4 linked regions of the Drosophila melanogaster genome follow. Each later gene encodes a partner of the first gene's protein in a complex. Each region holds a gene or a part of one and is shown in the gene's direction. Other genes may lie near its edges. The genes, in order: MED21, MED4, MED8 and MED31.

The links.
Region 2: MED21 (region 1) and MED4 share a complex: the UniProt entries of both Drosophila melanogaster proteins name them as parts of the mediator complex.
Region 3: MED21 (region 1) and MED8 share a complex: the UniProt entries of both Drosophila melanogaster proteins name them as parts of the mediator complex.
Region 4: MED21 (region 1) and MED31 share a complex: the UniProt entries of both Drosophila melanogaster proteins name them as parts of the mediator complex.

Annotation. Positions count from the first base shown.
Region 1 is NT_037436.4:25,114,270-25,117,955, reverse strand, and holds MED21 (mediator complex subunit 21), read left to right. Parts: upstream 1-2,009; 5' UTR 2,010-2,127; exon of another isoform or gene 2,128-2,231; 5' UTR 2,232-2,252; coding exon 2,253-2,294; intron 2,295-2,350; coding exon 2,351-2,737; 3' UTR 2,738-3,032; downstream 3,033-3,686. Other genes in the region: Set1 (SET domain containing 1), read right to left, coding at 3,059-3,232, 3,289-3,686. UniProt on the Drosophila melanogaster protein: Component of the Mediator complex, a coactivator involved in the regulated transcription of nearly all RNA polymerase II-dependent genes.
Region 2 is NT_037436.4:7,248,977-7,252,448, reverse strand, and holds MED4 (mediator complex subunit 4), read left to right. Parts: upstream 1-1,921; 5' UTR 1,922-2,004; coding exon 2,005-2,241; intron 2,242-2,299; coding exon 2,300-2,839; 3' UTR 2,840-2,920; downstream 2,921-3,472. Other genes in the region: CG14830 (uncharacterized protein), read left to right, coding at 251-273, 341-769, 831-1,350. UniProt on the Drosophila melanogaster protein: Component of the Mediator complex, a coactivator involved in the regulated transcription of nearly all RNA polymerase II-dependent genes.
Region 3 is NT_033778.4:20,324,993-20,328,641, reverse strand, and holds MED8 (mediator complex subunit 8), read left to right. Parts: upstream 1-1,835; 5' UTR 1,836-1,919; coding exon 1,920-2,678; 3' UTR 2,679-2,798; downstream 2,799-3,649. Other genes in the region: CG8929 (uncharacterized protein), read right to left, coding at 1-315, 508-583; tapas, read right to left, coding at 2,829-3,046, 3,105-3,253, 3,312-3,463, 3,521-3,649. UniProt on the Drosophila melanogaster protein: Component of the Mediator complex, a coactivator involved in the regulated transcription of nearly all RNA polymerase II-dependent genes.
Region 4 is NT_033777.3:4,640,255-4,644,220, forward strand, and holds MED31 (mediator complex subunit 31), read left to right. Parts: upstream 1-1,708; 5' UTR 1,709-1,741; coding exon of another isoform or gene 1,742-1,754; exon of another isoform or gene 1,755-2,029; 5' UTR 2,030-2,146; coding exon 2,147-2,174; intron 2,175-2,314; coding exon 2,315-2,404; intron 2,405-2,496; coding exon 2,497-2,993; 3' UTR 2,994-3,038; downstream 3,039-3,966. Other genes in the region: nuclease slx1, read left to right, coding at 1,742-1,754, 3,290-3,966. UniProt on the Drosophila melanogaster protein: Component of the Mediator complex, a coactivator involved in the regulated transcription of nearly all RNA polymerase II-dependent genes.

The DNA of each region.
Region 1 (3,686 bases):
TAGAACTGCTCATTCCGAACATAAATTGACAAATATGCAACAAACTGAACAAAGTGGCATTGAAGCTATGATGCTATCCCTACAGAAAAGCATGAAATATTTCATAACGATCAAAACGTGCAAAATTTCCTGATACAACTTCTTGTATCTTCAAAATCCCCATGCTGGCTTCCCTACGGATATCTATTCACTTCATACACAAGAACTCACACAGTTCATTACCGAAAAAAACACTGGAGTAATGCTACTATCAGAAACGCACCTCACAAATCATTCAGATGGTAAAGCTCTTGGAGGCACTGGCATACTAATCAGAAATCGCATAAAAACCACCTCAATCTACGTCCATAGTCTAACTACTCAACAATGGTTCAATGACTCTAGCCGCAGTCTACTGCCCACCACGCTATCCAATACATACTGACCAGCAGACCCAAGAAAAATCCCAGACCCAGATCACACATAGAACTAACGCCGGCATTATCTGCTAAGGAAAATATAGACAAGTCAACGGACACTGTTGAAAATATTCTAGTTTCGGGTGCAAAGTGACGTATGCCCACCAGCACTAAGAACCTTTTGTAGAGAAAAGACAGTGATGAGAAAAGAGCCAGAGCAGTTGCTGACCACTTACAAATTTTATTTCTACCAAATCCTGCTATAAAGTCATTATTCTCCCTCCTTTAGCAGAAGCAAACTTAGATTATGTGAATTAGCAAAGGTTATCAAAAAGCAACTGAAGCGATTTTGGCTTCGACCTAATAACTCAAAAAATCCTTATTGAACTCCCAGTGTGATGTTCTGCACATGTGCTTGTTGTTCAACGCAATCGCCAAGCATGGATACTTCCCTCAAAAATGGAAAAAATCTACCATAGTAATGATTCCAATGCCAGGAAAAGATAAAACGCAGCCATCATCATATAGACCGATACAGTAACTAACTTATCTCTAAAATTTATTTGAAAAAATGCTACTCCTGGGAATAAGCCCTCGTCATGGAAAAAACATGGAACCATCGAACAGGCCAATCGAATCACGTCAGAAATTCGTACTGCTTTTGAGCATCGAGAATATTACACAGCCATTTTACTAGACGTCGCGCAGGCATTTGACAGTGTTTCTGGATGGACTTTTGCTTAAACTAGCCAAGCTATTGTTCCAAAACATACATAAGCTACTGAAGTCGCAATAAGATGCAAGGAACCTTCACTGGCTCATGCTCGCTCTCCACTTAGCGTGGAGTTCAAAGCTCTCCTATACAACTCCGTCTTAAAACCAATCTGGACTTATGGCTCCGACCTGTGGGGCATCCATTCAGCGAGAACAGCCAACAATTCTGAGAATTCTGACTAGAGCGTGATACCTTCGGAACGAAGACATACACAGAGAGAAAAAAATCAAATTATTTATCGAAATAATAACTGAGAAGAAAATTAAAATACCTAGTAAAACTGACCACCCATTCAAATCCCCTCACAAGAAAACTAATCGGAGGCACAAAGTGTTCGTATCATAAAATCTTTGTTGCTTTTAAAAACCTTTAAAAAACAAGAGAGGTAGCTTTAAAATTTTTCATATGACATCTTTAAGATATGGTGAACCGATTTAGATATGTTAAAAATTAAAAGAATAATTATCGTGAAAAAGGGTACGGCTGTTCTTACTGATATTTATACCCACTTAATTGGACTGAAATGCTTTTTTCACTTCGTTGCAAGCTTATAACTGAAATCGATATACCCTCCTCAAGGATATACCAAGATTGTGTGAGAGAGGTTGCAGACTACTTGGAGACCAACTGCTTCCTTGTTATAACCGAAATTGTGATGATTTTGAACAAGACAAGAGGGATCGATGTGCAACGTGTGGTCATATATTATGGAGATTCCACTGTTTCCGACAATCTTATGGTAGTTTATATCGTTGGAATGAAGACATTATTATGGCACAGTGTGAACAAGAATAATTCGTCTCATTGAAAGAAATCACGTTTTAGTGTGGAACTCATATTAATAGCATTTCTTTTTTTAAGAGAATAGTCGCTGCTGTGAGGTATCTGTAAATAAGACATAAAATCAATCGATAAATAAATGCTTATATATTATAAAAATCACCAACGGTCATTGTATGTTGATATTATGTTGATTATGTTATGTTGATATTAAAAATGTTAATCAAAATTTGAACTGGCTAATCAAACTTAATTCCATATAATTTTTTGTTTTTCAGAATTATTAACTCTGTAGTAAAATGGCGGATCGGCTTACACAATTGCAAGACACCGTTAATCAGGTAAGTGACTTCGTATTAAGAAATAACCAGTTTTTTATGTAAAATAATCATTGCAGCAAGCGGAGCACTTCTGCAATGCTATTGGTGTAATTCAACAAACGTCCCTTCCAAGTAAATTTGTTAATTTTGAACGCATTGGACCCCAAACGCCAATCCCATGTCCGCCGCAAGAAGACTATGCCCAATTATTTGCACAGTTAATTGCACGATGTGCTAAAGACATCGACACCTTAATCGAGTCTCTTCCAAATGAAGACAGCTCCATTGAACTCCAAAATTCTAGCCTTAAGAGGCTCGAGATCGAAAACCAGGGAACTGCAAGAGACCTAGAGGAAGTAGTGCAAAAAGGCGAACTTTTGCTAGAAAAAATGCAGTATTCTTTGGAATGCATTGCTCAGGCTCAATTAGATATGCAAATAACACTCAAACATGATTTACAATAGCTGCTTAACACATTTTTGTATAAAGGCAAATTATTTTTAAATTTAAGATAATGTATTTATTGCATTTTCGTTCGTGTTTACAGATCAAATGGGTTTTAGTATATACATATTGTTTTTATAAGTAAAGTATTTTAGCTTAATTTAGACCTAAACCATTTTGAACAGCACCTCTGACCTCGTTGATATAATTTTTATAATAATTAATTATAGTTTTAAGTTATAAAAAAAACTATATATACTTACACGTACCCCACTTTGGATTTTATGAACAAATTAAATTTATGTGCTCTAAAATATTTAATTCATTGTTGTAAATAAGTATTAGTTAAGTGTACCCCGACATCCTTGGGCGCCGCATAGACAAGGTATTTTTTCGTCTTCTAGTGGAAATTTATAGTCGTAAGTTATTTCCTCGTTGATACCAATGGGTTGCTTTGAATATATTACTATCTTCTTTTCAGATTCAATAGTTATAACCTTAGCGTAGCAATTCGGCTGAAAAACAAAATTTTATGTTGGTAACATAATGTCAGAACATCCAGCTTACTTACATTGCAACTGTGATTTATAAACCGAGCTAAGTTTCCACATTTAGTTGCGTCAATTATAGTTTCCATGTCAATTCGAAACAAATAGGAACTCCCAATCCCAATTGCTTCATACTTTGTTTCTCTTAGATCAGCAACTACAGGTCGAATCATCTGACCAACATATTCAATAACCATTTCGTCTGCAGCTATGGGCTCCATTGCAAATAATCCCCAATCATGTATCGCAGATTTTGCAAACTTAAGCTGTTTCTTCCGAAACTTTAGCTGATTAAATTTTAAAAGCTCAGACTCACCCATAGAACCAAAGGCTGTTAAAAGTCTTCTCTGGTTTGAGCGAGCTTCGCGGGAAATTCCTTGCATTTTAGAAATTAATTTATTGTGATGATGATTTGTAAGTG
Region 2 (3,472 bases), about 18 Mb from region 1:
ATTTTATTGAATATGGCTGCTGTCTGCAGTCGAATAAAACTTTCATCGCTCTAATTAAAAGTTCTAAGCTAGTCGATAAAGTGAAGCCAAAACCTAATTGCCATGAAGTCGAGCTCATCGTGTGTTTGTTTTGCTTTACTTACCCATTGCAGGCACCTCGAGGAATTGCTAGACGGGTCCATTAGCAGTCAATCAGCCGCAGAGAAGAGCCAGCAAAAGATACAGATACAGGCGGAGCAAAAGATACAGGATGCACGAGAGACAAGTGAAGAAGTGAGTAGCGCGGATGGGCCACTTAACGGCTAATACAGCGGCGATAACATTTGCGATCCAATTACAGGTTGAAGGGCAGCCATTATGTGGCCACGCACGGTCGCCTCACTCCGGATCCGCCCTACGTCCACTCGAACCGCGGCTATTCCACCGACGGCGATGAGACCCACTCCCACCGGGCGCCCTCGGAGCGCACCTATTCGGAGTACACGTTGACCCACGAGCGCATCTCGCCGCAGTACAATGGTTCGCGCAAGAAGCGCTCCTCATCCTCGAATGGAAACCATCAGCATCAGCACCTGCAGAGCAGCTACAGCCACAGTCAGATGGGCCTCTCCAGTTCGCCGGACAACGGAGGACCTCGCTCCCTCAGCGGACCGCCGCCCACGCGCCAGCCACCGCGTGCTCCGTCCGCCCTGAGCTATGACCAGGCTGGTGACGCCGGCAGCGACATCTATGTGACCAGTGCCGCCTACAAGGCGCCCTCCGAGATCAGGTGCGTTGTTACAACTATATAGCATATAACCCATATCTAAACTATCTATCATCCATTACAGTCGCTACAGTCAGCGTCCAGTGTCGCGAGGAGCTCCACGGAGTGTTTACTCCGTGGCCAGTACGGCCAAAACCGGACGCAGTGCGCGCTCGACGACTCGGCGAGGCGCCAAAGTGGAAACCATGTCCGCGCCGAATCCATTTTGCCCCAATGTCAAGGGCGTGTGCTGTCTGATGCTGTTGCTCAACTTGGGCCTGATCCTGGTGACGCTAGGATTCGTCATTGTGGTGCAGTTCTATGAGCCACTGTACGTGTGGATACTGGGAATTGTGTTCCTGGTCTTCGGCTTCCTCACGCTAATCGGCTGCATGATCTACTGTGTGTACGTGTTCCGGGATGCGAAGACGCCATCGCAGGTGCGCAACGAGGATCTCTACTGGACGCGGCACTGGCAGAAGAATATCGGATACACGCCGCAGGAGATCAACTACAAGGCGGACAAGTACGATGCCTACTCGGATCGCTATTCGGTTAGCAAGCTGAGTGGCAAATACTCGGATCGCGAGAGCCAGCGATACTGATTGTTATGCATATGTACATATGTATGTATGTACATACATATGCGGTTTGATGAAAGGGGATCCTTTGGGCGGAGAAGAAATATGAATAGCCACATATAAACCACTTATATCTTAACTAATTGTAAGACTATCTACTAGTTCTAAACGGTTATTAACAAGGCCCCTCCAACGTACCTGCTGCAAGTTGCTTGCTGGTTTGTATGTTTTAAGAGTGAAACTGACGGGAGACGCGAACGCGAGGATGCAACAGAGTATTGTAATCTGCCATATTTGAGAAGGTTTGTTAGGTTTGATTTGGCTAATCAACAGAAGAGTTTTATGCTAAAATTGTAACTGCAATTGTAACACACGAGAAATAAACAAGCAAATAATACCTACTAGAGATAACGCTGCGAATTTGTTTTATTTTTGAACAGTCTCTTCTACTCTTTGCTTTTGAGTACTTGATTCCCTTTTTTTTGAGTGTATGAAATAACCCATGTGGCAACTCCTATTAGTCTGGCAACCTCTCTGTTACGGTATTTTTACAACGTGGTATTAACAGCGCTCCGGAATACTATACGGTATATTTCAGCAATCGAAGAACGGCCACATTGCGGTGTGGAAAATAAACAAATTGCAATTATTGCTTAGCACAAACGATTTGCCGTGATAATGTCGTTTCATTTGAGCACAAAAGAGCGCCTTCTGCTCCTGATCGACGACATTGAGATGATTGCCAAGGAGTTGATCGAGCAGGCGCACCAGAAGATCTCCAGCACCGAATTGGTGGACCTGTTGGATTTGCTGGTGGCCAAAGATGAGGAATTTCGCAAAATGCTGGAACTGGCGGAGGAGCAGGCGAAAGTGGAGGAGGCGATGGACCAACTGCGCGCTAAGGTCGAGGTGCACGTAAGTAGAAGTTTTGCATTCCCCAAAAATAAGGTATAATCTGGATTTTCCCGCTTAGGACCGTGAGATCCAGAAGCTGCAAAAGTCGCTAAAGGATGCGGAGCTCATACTGTCCACGGCCATCTTCCAAGCGCGACAGAAACTGGCCAGCATCAATCAGGCCAACAAACGACCGGTTTCATCCGAGGAGCTCATCAAATACGCACATCGGATTAGCTCCGCCAATGCGGTCAGTGCTCCGCTCACCTGGTGCATAGGTGACCTGCGGCGTCCCTATCCCACGGACATTGAGATGCGCAACGGGCTGCTGGGTAAATCCGAGCAGAACATCAACGGCGGAACAGTGACCCACCAGAACAGCGGCATGCCCTCGGAGCAGCAGCGAACGCTGTCCGGTAGCGCAGGAAGTGGGAGTGGCAGTGGCGCCGGCGGCGAGGTGCCCAATGCCTTCCAGAACCAGTTTAACTGGAATCTCGGAGAGCTGCACATGACCATGGGCGCCTCTGGGAACACAGTGGCCCTGGAGACGCGCGCCCAGGACGATGTGGAGGTCATGTCCACGGATAGCTCAAGCTCCAGTTCCAGCGATTCGCAGTAGAATTGGATAAAAAACTATAACTAAATCTCGTTTAAGCTAGTAGTATTAGGTATTTAATAAAAGCGCGCTGTAAGGAAGTCTAGTTATGTATATATTTGAGTAGCTGGGATACATATCTAATTTTATGACCTTCTTTAATGATATTAATTTACAATTTAAATTGGCATTTAAAAAAATGCAAAGTTATGTATCAGTGGAAACAGCTTATAATAGCTTCGTGTCAAGAGCTTGGTACTTTTGCGCTAGTGCGATACGGTCCTCCTCAACCATATAAACAATCGATTGGCAGGGTCGCGTGCAATCGATACTTTGACAGCTCGCAATTATTTTAGCTTTGGTTTTTCAAATAAAATGGAATGCAACGCGTATGCAGCGTGTTTCAAGTAGCTAAAATGTGGCCAAGGTGTAGTCCAGTGTCGCCGCCAATCGCAGATCAGCCCCGTGTGCGTCTTTAACGAGAGATAAGCCCCGAAAACGATAGTAGAAAACCGACCCCCCGTTCGCAGTGTGTGTGTACAGAGGGCGAAGCGAAGCGAAGGCTCGACTCAAACCAATTGCAATATCAAATATAAAGAAAAAGTGGAAGTGGAAGGTGGAGTGGAGTGGAGGCCAGGGAGCGAGAGACACCGCCAT
Region 3 (3,649 bases), on another chromosome or scaffold:
GTGAGTGCGGCGAACGAGAGCGTCCGTAACGCTGCGACGGAGGCGGTGGACCTGGCGGCGGTCCACCTGTGGGCGGATAACGACCGTAGGGCGGTGCTCCACCCTCACGACCTTCGCGACCGTCGCGTTCGCTCTCTCCAGAGCTGCTCTCCCCCTGGATGTACATCTTCTTGTAGCCCGTGTGGCGCCATCGGTTTGGATCCTTCTCCTCTGCCTCGATCAGCTTCTTGTCCCAATAATCGTTGGTGGTGTTGGCGCGCGCCTTCTTCATCACGTTGTCGATCTCGCGTCGCTTTCCAGCGGGTAATGAGGGATCTGCAAGGTTGAGAGGTAAAAGGTAAGCTTCGATTGGCAGGGTGGTGGGCGGTGCTTTGTTCCGGGAAGCCCCTAAGACGGGCTGATGGGTTTATGGGCCCTTAGACATCGCTAATCCCGGCGAGGTAATTGGGTTTTCCCACTTCTATGCAGTTGCTTGCTGGTAGTTGGTAGAAGTTTCAGTTCAGGTACCTGTTATGCGGGCAGCTGTCGGCTGCCTGTCCATGTGCAGTTTTGGATTCAGTTCGGCGCGCCTGCGCGACGCCATCGCGAGATTTCGGATTTCTATCGCTTTGGCAACTATGTATATGTATATATATCGCGCGACAGATATATGTATGTATGTACTCGGGTTTCAATGTTTATTACCCCCAATCGGTTAGGGTTTGGTTTACTGTTTCGGATTCGGTTTGGCGAACGCGACAACACACTTTACCATTTCAAAAACATACACAACAAGCTGCAAATATATTACAATTGAATATAGAAACATGTAAAGAGAGCATTAGAAATGGCTAACACAAAGCAACAACAATATCAGGAGCGGAGTTATACAGAATGGGAATAGAGCGGAGAGACCTGAAAACGCAGAGAGAATCGCGGACGCGCTCCGGCTGTCATTTAACCCATATCACGCCGCGGGGGTCGGGGACCTGTGGTCCCAATCAAAATCGTGCGAGAGAGCCGATTTTTAATCGGCTTGCGCGTATATCTTTTCACATATGCATTTTGAATTTCTTCCATTTTTCACACATACACTCACACCAGCACCAATATATTTGCCTTGTCAGCACGAGAGGAATGCAGAGCGAGACAGAGAGAGAGTGTGAGGCAAAAGTTGGCGATACTCCCGACGGCAGCAACTAAATTTCGAATTTCAGCTCTGGCAATTATGTAAACGATGTAAAACAGGCACTAAAATAATTTGCTTACATTTGGCGACGTTTGCGGGCACGCTTTACGATATTTCGTGAGCTGTTAACGTTTTATTGGCAAATGAAAAACACGGCGTTGCGTTCACTTCAATTTTTCTCGACGGCCATGTTGGTAGTATCGATATGCCGGGGCACAATCGATGGCTTGGCTTCAATAGTCTAAGGACTGTTCAGAGTCTGATGAACTCGAGTCAGTTTATATATTTTAATAATAAATATTGTGTTATTTCAAGAGGCGCTCGTAGTTGAAAACACTATTCGTTTTGGGAATGTTTTATATATTAGACTATTTAAATCATATCATATTGTTTTGACATTATTTTAAGTATGCATTAACGATTCTGCTAATTATTGCAAAAATAAAAGTTATTAGTTCTATTTAAATTAAAACAGAAACAAATAATAACGATCAATTATTAGTTATTGGTGAGCATTAATTCATTTTTTATTGTTCAGTTTCCTTAATTGACCATATGATTTTAATTTTAGGATCTGAATGTAGTGTGGACGCCAGTTTGCTGCTATCGCAAACGTTATCGATAGTACGGTGTTGCAGTATTTTATTACACCCGACTAACAAATGATAATAAGCAGATCCACGGTCACACTTTCCACTTTGTGTCCATCCGACTGAAGTTAAAAATAATAGTTTAATTGGGAGTTTCCAAAATGCAGCGCGACGAAAAGCTTTTTGAGCTGACGCTGGATACGGTCCTTCAGCGTCTGAACGACCTGAAGCTGGCGGTTCTCTCGATGATCCAAAAACTTGAGCTAGAGTACGAGACCATCAACTGGCCGACTTTCCTGGACAACTTTGCCATTATCTCAAGTCACTTGACGGGATTGACGAAAATCTTGGCAAAGGAGCAGTGTCCGCCGCTAAGAAATCGAACGGTCCTGCCCCTTCTGGTCTCCATGGACCGGGATGACACCCTCATCAACATCACAGAGGGTCGGGTGCCAGTCTTTTCACACGACATTGTTCCAGACTATTTGAGAACTCGGCCGGATCCGATTACGGAACAGAAAATGCTGCAGAACGAACAGAAGGCGGCGAACCTCACCAACGACGCTGCCATGAAACAGGTCACTCAATACAACAAGGTCGTCTCCCACGTCCTGGATATGGTCAGCAAAGCGCGCGAGGAGTGGGAAATCGAGAGCTCTTCGCGCACCGGCATCCAGCAGACGAGTAGCATGGCCGACACACAGCTCCTGGTGGCCGCCGTGGGTATGGGAAAAGGACTCAAGCTGACCAACTATGGACCCGGACCTGGCATGATGGTACCGCCTTCAATTCGAGCACCCTCGCCAATGGGTGGACCCGCTATGAGTCCCGGCAACGTGCAGCAGCAGCTGGGAAAGGCGCCATCGGCTGTGAAAACAAACATCAAGTCCGCAAATCAAGTGCATCCGTTCTCTCGATAAAAAACATCAGTTTATTAGCTATTATCGGTTCCATCTGGCGGAATGTTTCGTCGTAATAAGTTATATGTATATTCCTAATTCTAAAACTAGGATTACGCAAACATAAACATGAACAAATTTAAATGGATCGTCTCCTCCGACTCAGACTTCTTATGTTGCTGGCTGTGCGTGCTTCTCATTGATGAGAATCTCGTGCAGCTTAATATCTTTCGGCGTGGAGGTGTCCACCAGCTCCAGGCACAGCGCTCGTCCGCCATCCTTTTGTTTAGTCATTCGCCGCACAATGCCAATAAACTTCTGACCCAGCGACAGTTCCCGGAATCGGACGCAGTTCTCCTTGCTCCATACTACATCAGTCAGTTGTATGCCTGAAAGAAGATCGTTTTTAGTTCTAACGCCAAACTGCTGAAGTTCTCTTGAACTTGCCATAAAGTTGTGCTGGCAATGCCATCTTGGGCAGCTTTCTTAACTCCGGATTTAGAGTTTTCAGTTGATCACAGGCAATTACTCCATCGTCGCCCACGTCGACGAAACGCACGTGTATAATCTCATCGTAAATCTTGTGAATACTTACGCTGCAAGATTAACAGATTTAGTCTGCGTTTTTATTGCAAGACCTGAATAAGTTCTTACCGATGATATACGCCTTCGGAGTCAGGGGCAGCGTAGGCCTCTCCAATGGCCAGTTGTGAAGGCTGCACTCCCTTGGCTGCCGTCTTTTGGCAATGCTCTTGTAAATTCTTCATCAAAGTCTGCAGCTGGTTATAGTATTTGTACGGTTGCACCTGCGGAAGAATCGCACATCATAATCGGAGTCATTAATTTGCTGATGATTGACTTACCGCAAAGTGACCGGGATTGACGGAGAGGGCAACGCGCACCTCGAAATAGGCACCCACTGCCGGAATAGCCTCGTAATCCTTGAGCATGAGAGACGAAAAGGTGCTGCCGGTCGATCTTGCGGATGGTTT
Region 4 (3,966 bases), on another chromosome or scaffold:
CTTATAATGTATGTTTTCACTGTTCTCCGCTTGACTCTTGGACGATCGAGTGGGTGTTTCTGCGCCGAAAACCGGTTTGCAACTGTAATGGAAAGCAAAAATGTAATGAGTTTTGTAGGCAGTCAGGTACGCCAGGACGACCCCCGGACAGGTAGTGCCAGCTGACACCCATAAACGCTAAGCTCAGACAGTTCTTTAAAATATACCAATAAATCTGCAGCTGTTCCTATGTGGAAAAGCCAACCGTTGGCTTTACCCCTTATGCACCCCCGTAAATAAAGCCGTGGTCATAGTTACAACACTAAACATTTTAATATTACCTATGAATTTTCCCACTTAAGAACATTGATTCATTTCACATGTATATAGGAAGATGTTTAGGAGTAAAGATCACTTTAGTCAAGAGTCGCGACTATGAGATACCCAGCACTCAGCGAAGACATTTATTTGATACGTTTCTAATAATCCTATTTTAACTATTATGACAATTGTATGGAACTACAGTGTTATATGCCAATTTGGGCGTTGTAGATCGTGGTCAGATCGACCAGGCCATTGGTCCGGATCGAAGAAACATTTACATTATAGGGTCGGAATCACTTTTTATACCAGTTACACACTGTACACTTTTCACTCTATAATACTGTTTTAGGTAATGGTCTATTTATCTCGAATTTAGATGTACGAATTAGTGTGGCAAACCAATCGATCAATTAAAATTGCGACTGTGGCTTGCCTAAGCGGACACAAAAGAGACTTACATTCGTAATTACATTGAAATGATTCAGAAGCCTATCAAGAAACAATCTTTGGTTCTATTTGGACGGCAGCTGTGCTGTGCTGTATAGATACATATGCACATATGTACATATGTGTACATCTGTATGCATCTGTATATGTATATACATTTCGGAGTTGTATTCAAGCAGAGCACACTGTAATCTAATAATAGATTCTTCGCCAACATGAATTTTTTGTGGATGATGATTAACCCGTCGAAATCGGGGAAATAGTTGGATATACATATATAATGTTTCATATGCACTTAAATTACATAATTTTGTTAATACTTACATTTCTGAATTGTGCGTCGCTGCTTCGCTTGTTCCTCAGCACAAAAATAGGTGCGGGGGCGTTCTGTCCACAGATAGAAATTAGTTTCACTCGTTGATTTCTCGTTTATTTAGCCTAAACTACGACTTTTTCAGTGGCTTGGTTCCGATTAGATATGTTTTACAGACGAAATTCAAGTTTTTCCTCGCTGCTTTTCAGGCTGACAAAAAAATCAGGCATTGTTCTCCACAGCGTTCGTCGTAGGCTTGTGAAAATACCGAATTAAATGCGCATCACATTAGGGGTAGTGAAATAAATACTGAAGGCTACACACAATTGTTAATTACATATTATAATTAAAAATTGTCAATGTTCTGGTCGGAATTTTATATTTTAATATAAATTTTAATTGTTTTATTATGATTATTTGTAGATACCATTGATCGCTGTACTTCTTGATACATACGCTCAGATTTGTTTAAACTTACTCTGGTATTAAAGATTTTTGTTGGTTAAAACAACCCTAATTCTAATTTTTAACACAGAAACATTTTCAAGAATACCGTTAGCACACACCAAGTAAAATATACGGAAAAGCAGTATTTTACGAAAAAAAAATCGTATTCGGATGAGCTTGCAGCCCTGGCGGGGACAGAAGTAGGGTTGTCGCCGGCCATCAACAATCCAAATGAACTCCTACGGTTTGTAGACAATATTAAAAACTGAATTTAACTGCCTTCCCACAAGAAATCACCAACACAAAGGGAGCGACAACCCACCGCCTGCGCCCAGAAACCTGGTCGACTGTTTTCCCGAGTTTTCTTTTGGCCCACAACCTGCGTTTGCTCTGTGCAGTCACTGCCGCGCCATACATTTTATTTCATTAGCGAAGCCCATATATATTTATAATTTTACTTGTGTGTTTTGTTTGCCGCGACGTTTCGTTTTCAATTCGATGGTGCACCAAAACACACAGCTCAGAACATCCACATAGCACACTGAAAGAAACCAAGAACCCAACCCGACACCGAAACTGAATAGACGCAAGTACCGACCCAACGAGACCCTTTCCAAAGCCAAAGACCAGTCCAAAATGGCCAAAATGTACGGAAAGGGTAAGAGTAAGTACACGCCAATCCACACCCATTTTCGCATTGTAATCTAACACCTACTGACACCGCTTGGCATGCCGAATCCTCAGAGATCTACCAAAAGTGGTGCTAATTTCTCAGGGACTAATGCTCTCCAATTTCTTCCGTAGCTGCTATCGAGTCGGAGGAGCTGCAGAAGCGACGCTGGCAGATCGAGCTGGAGTTCGTGCAGTGCCTGTCGAACCCCAACTATCTAAACTGTAAGAATAATATTACCTCGACCTACCTAATATTCACTTATTCACCATCTTGCGCGTATATCTAAATAAACAATTACAACGCCTTGTGCCAGTCCTTGCACAGCGTGGATTTTTCAAGGACCAGTCGTTCATCAACTACCTGAAGTATCTGCAGTACTGGAAGGAGCCGGACTATGCGAAATACCTCATGTACCCAATGTGCCTCTACTTCCTCGATCTGCTGCAGTACGAACACTTCCGCCGGGAGATCGTCAACTCGCAGTGCTGCAAGTTCATAGACGACCAGGCCATTCTGCAGTGGCAGCACTACACTCGCAAGCGCATCAAACTGATCGAAAACGTTACGGCCGCCCAGCAGCAACAACAGCAGCTTCAGCAGCAACAACAGCAGGCGAACGGCATGGAGGCAGCAACGGGAGGCGAATCAGCAGCACCTACCCCCAACGTGAACGGGTCAGCTTCCACGGCGGATAGTCAACAGACGTCTTCTGCCCTACAGCCTGTCCAAGCACAGCCTGGAAATCCCCAGCAGCAGCAGCAAATCAATGGCGTGGCATCGGGGGCCAACATAAAACTAGAGTTAAACTAGCGCTGGCAACTAAAAGTTTACCAATAAAATAGTATAAGAACCTGGAACAAGTTATTTTGCATTCCATTTATTATCTTCCTTTTTGGCTGAGAAACAGCTACCACTTAACACACCTTATTTTCTTAGCTATTTTAGCCAAACTAAAATTCTAAAATAATTTTATTTCTTTTTTTATTTTAGAAAATCTTGAAAACCTCATCTCATTGCTTTAGTTAGGGTGTCGCCTCCTTTGTCGTTGGTTTTTGGTTGCAGACACAAAGCAAGTTTCATTAATCTATCTGTTGGTGAATTCACAGACCCACAGGACACAGCTTCTCAACAGGAGGAATCCGTCGCGCTGAAGGGCCACTTCTACGGCGTCTATTTGCTATGCAGTCAGAGCTTGGATCCTCGCTACCGGGGAAAATGCTACGTGGGCTTCACCGTGAACCCCAAACGGCGGATACGCCAACACAATCTTGGTTGTGATTTCGGTGGCGCGAGGAAAACCAGTCGCAAAGGGCCGTGGCTGATGGTAATGATCGTGCACGGATTCCCGAATAATACAGTGGCACTCCAGTTTGAATGGGCTTGGCAACAGCCGTCGCTTTCAACTAGGCTTAAAATGTACCCTGAATTAAAACGAAAACTGCCCAGGGAGACGTTCTTTGACTACAACTTTAGGATCCTTAGTAATATGCTGGGGGTTGGCCCTTGGAATAGATTACCGCTCACCGTTCGCTGGCTAGAAACGGATTACGAGAGGCCATTCAGCAAGGCACTGCCTAAACACATGGAAATTGTGAGTGGCAAGGTTTCCATTAGTGCCTCACAACGTAGGAGACCTGATGATGCAGTACCTCCTCCACCTGTGGCGTGGGCTTCCGAGTGCCACCTTTGTATGCAGGAAATGGAGCAACCGGAGAAATCCCGCCTGGGATGCACAAATCAAATGTGTCGGCTGACATGCCATATGGTGTGCCTGGCCAATTAC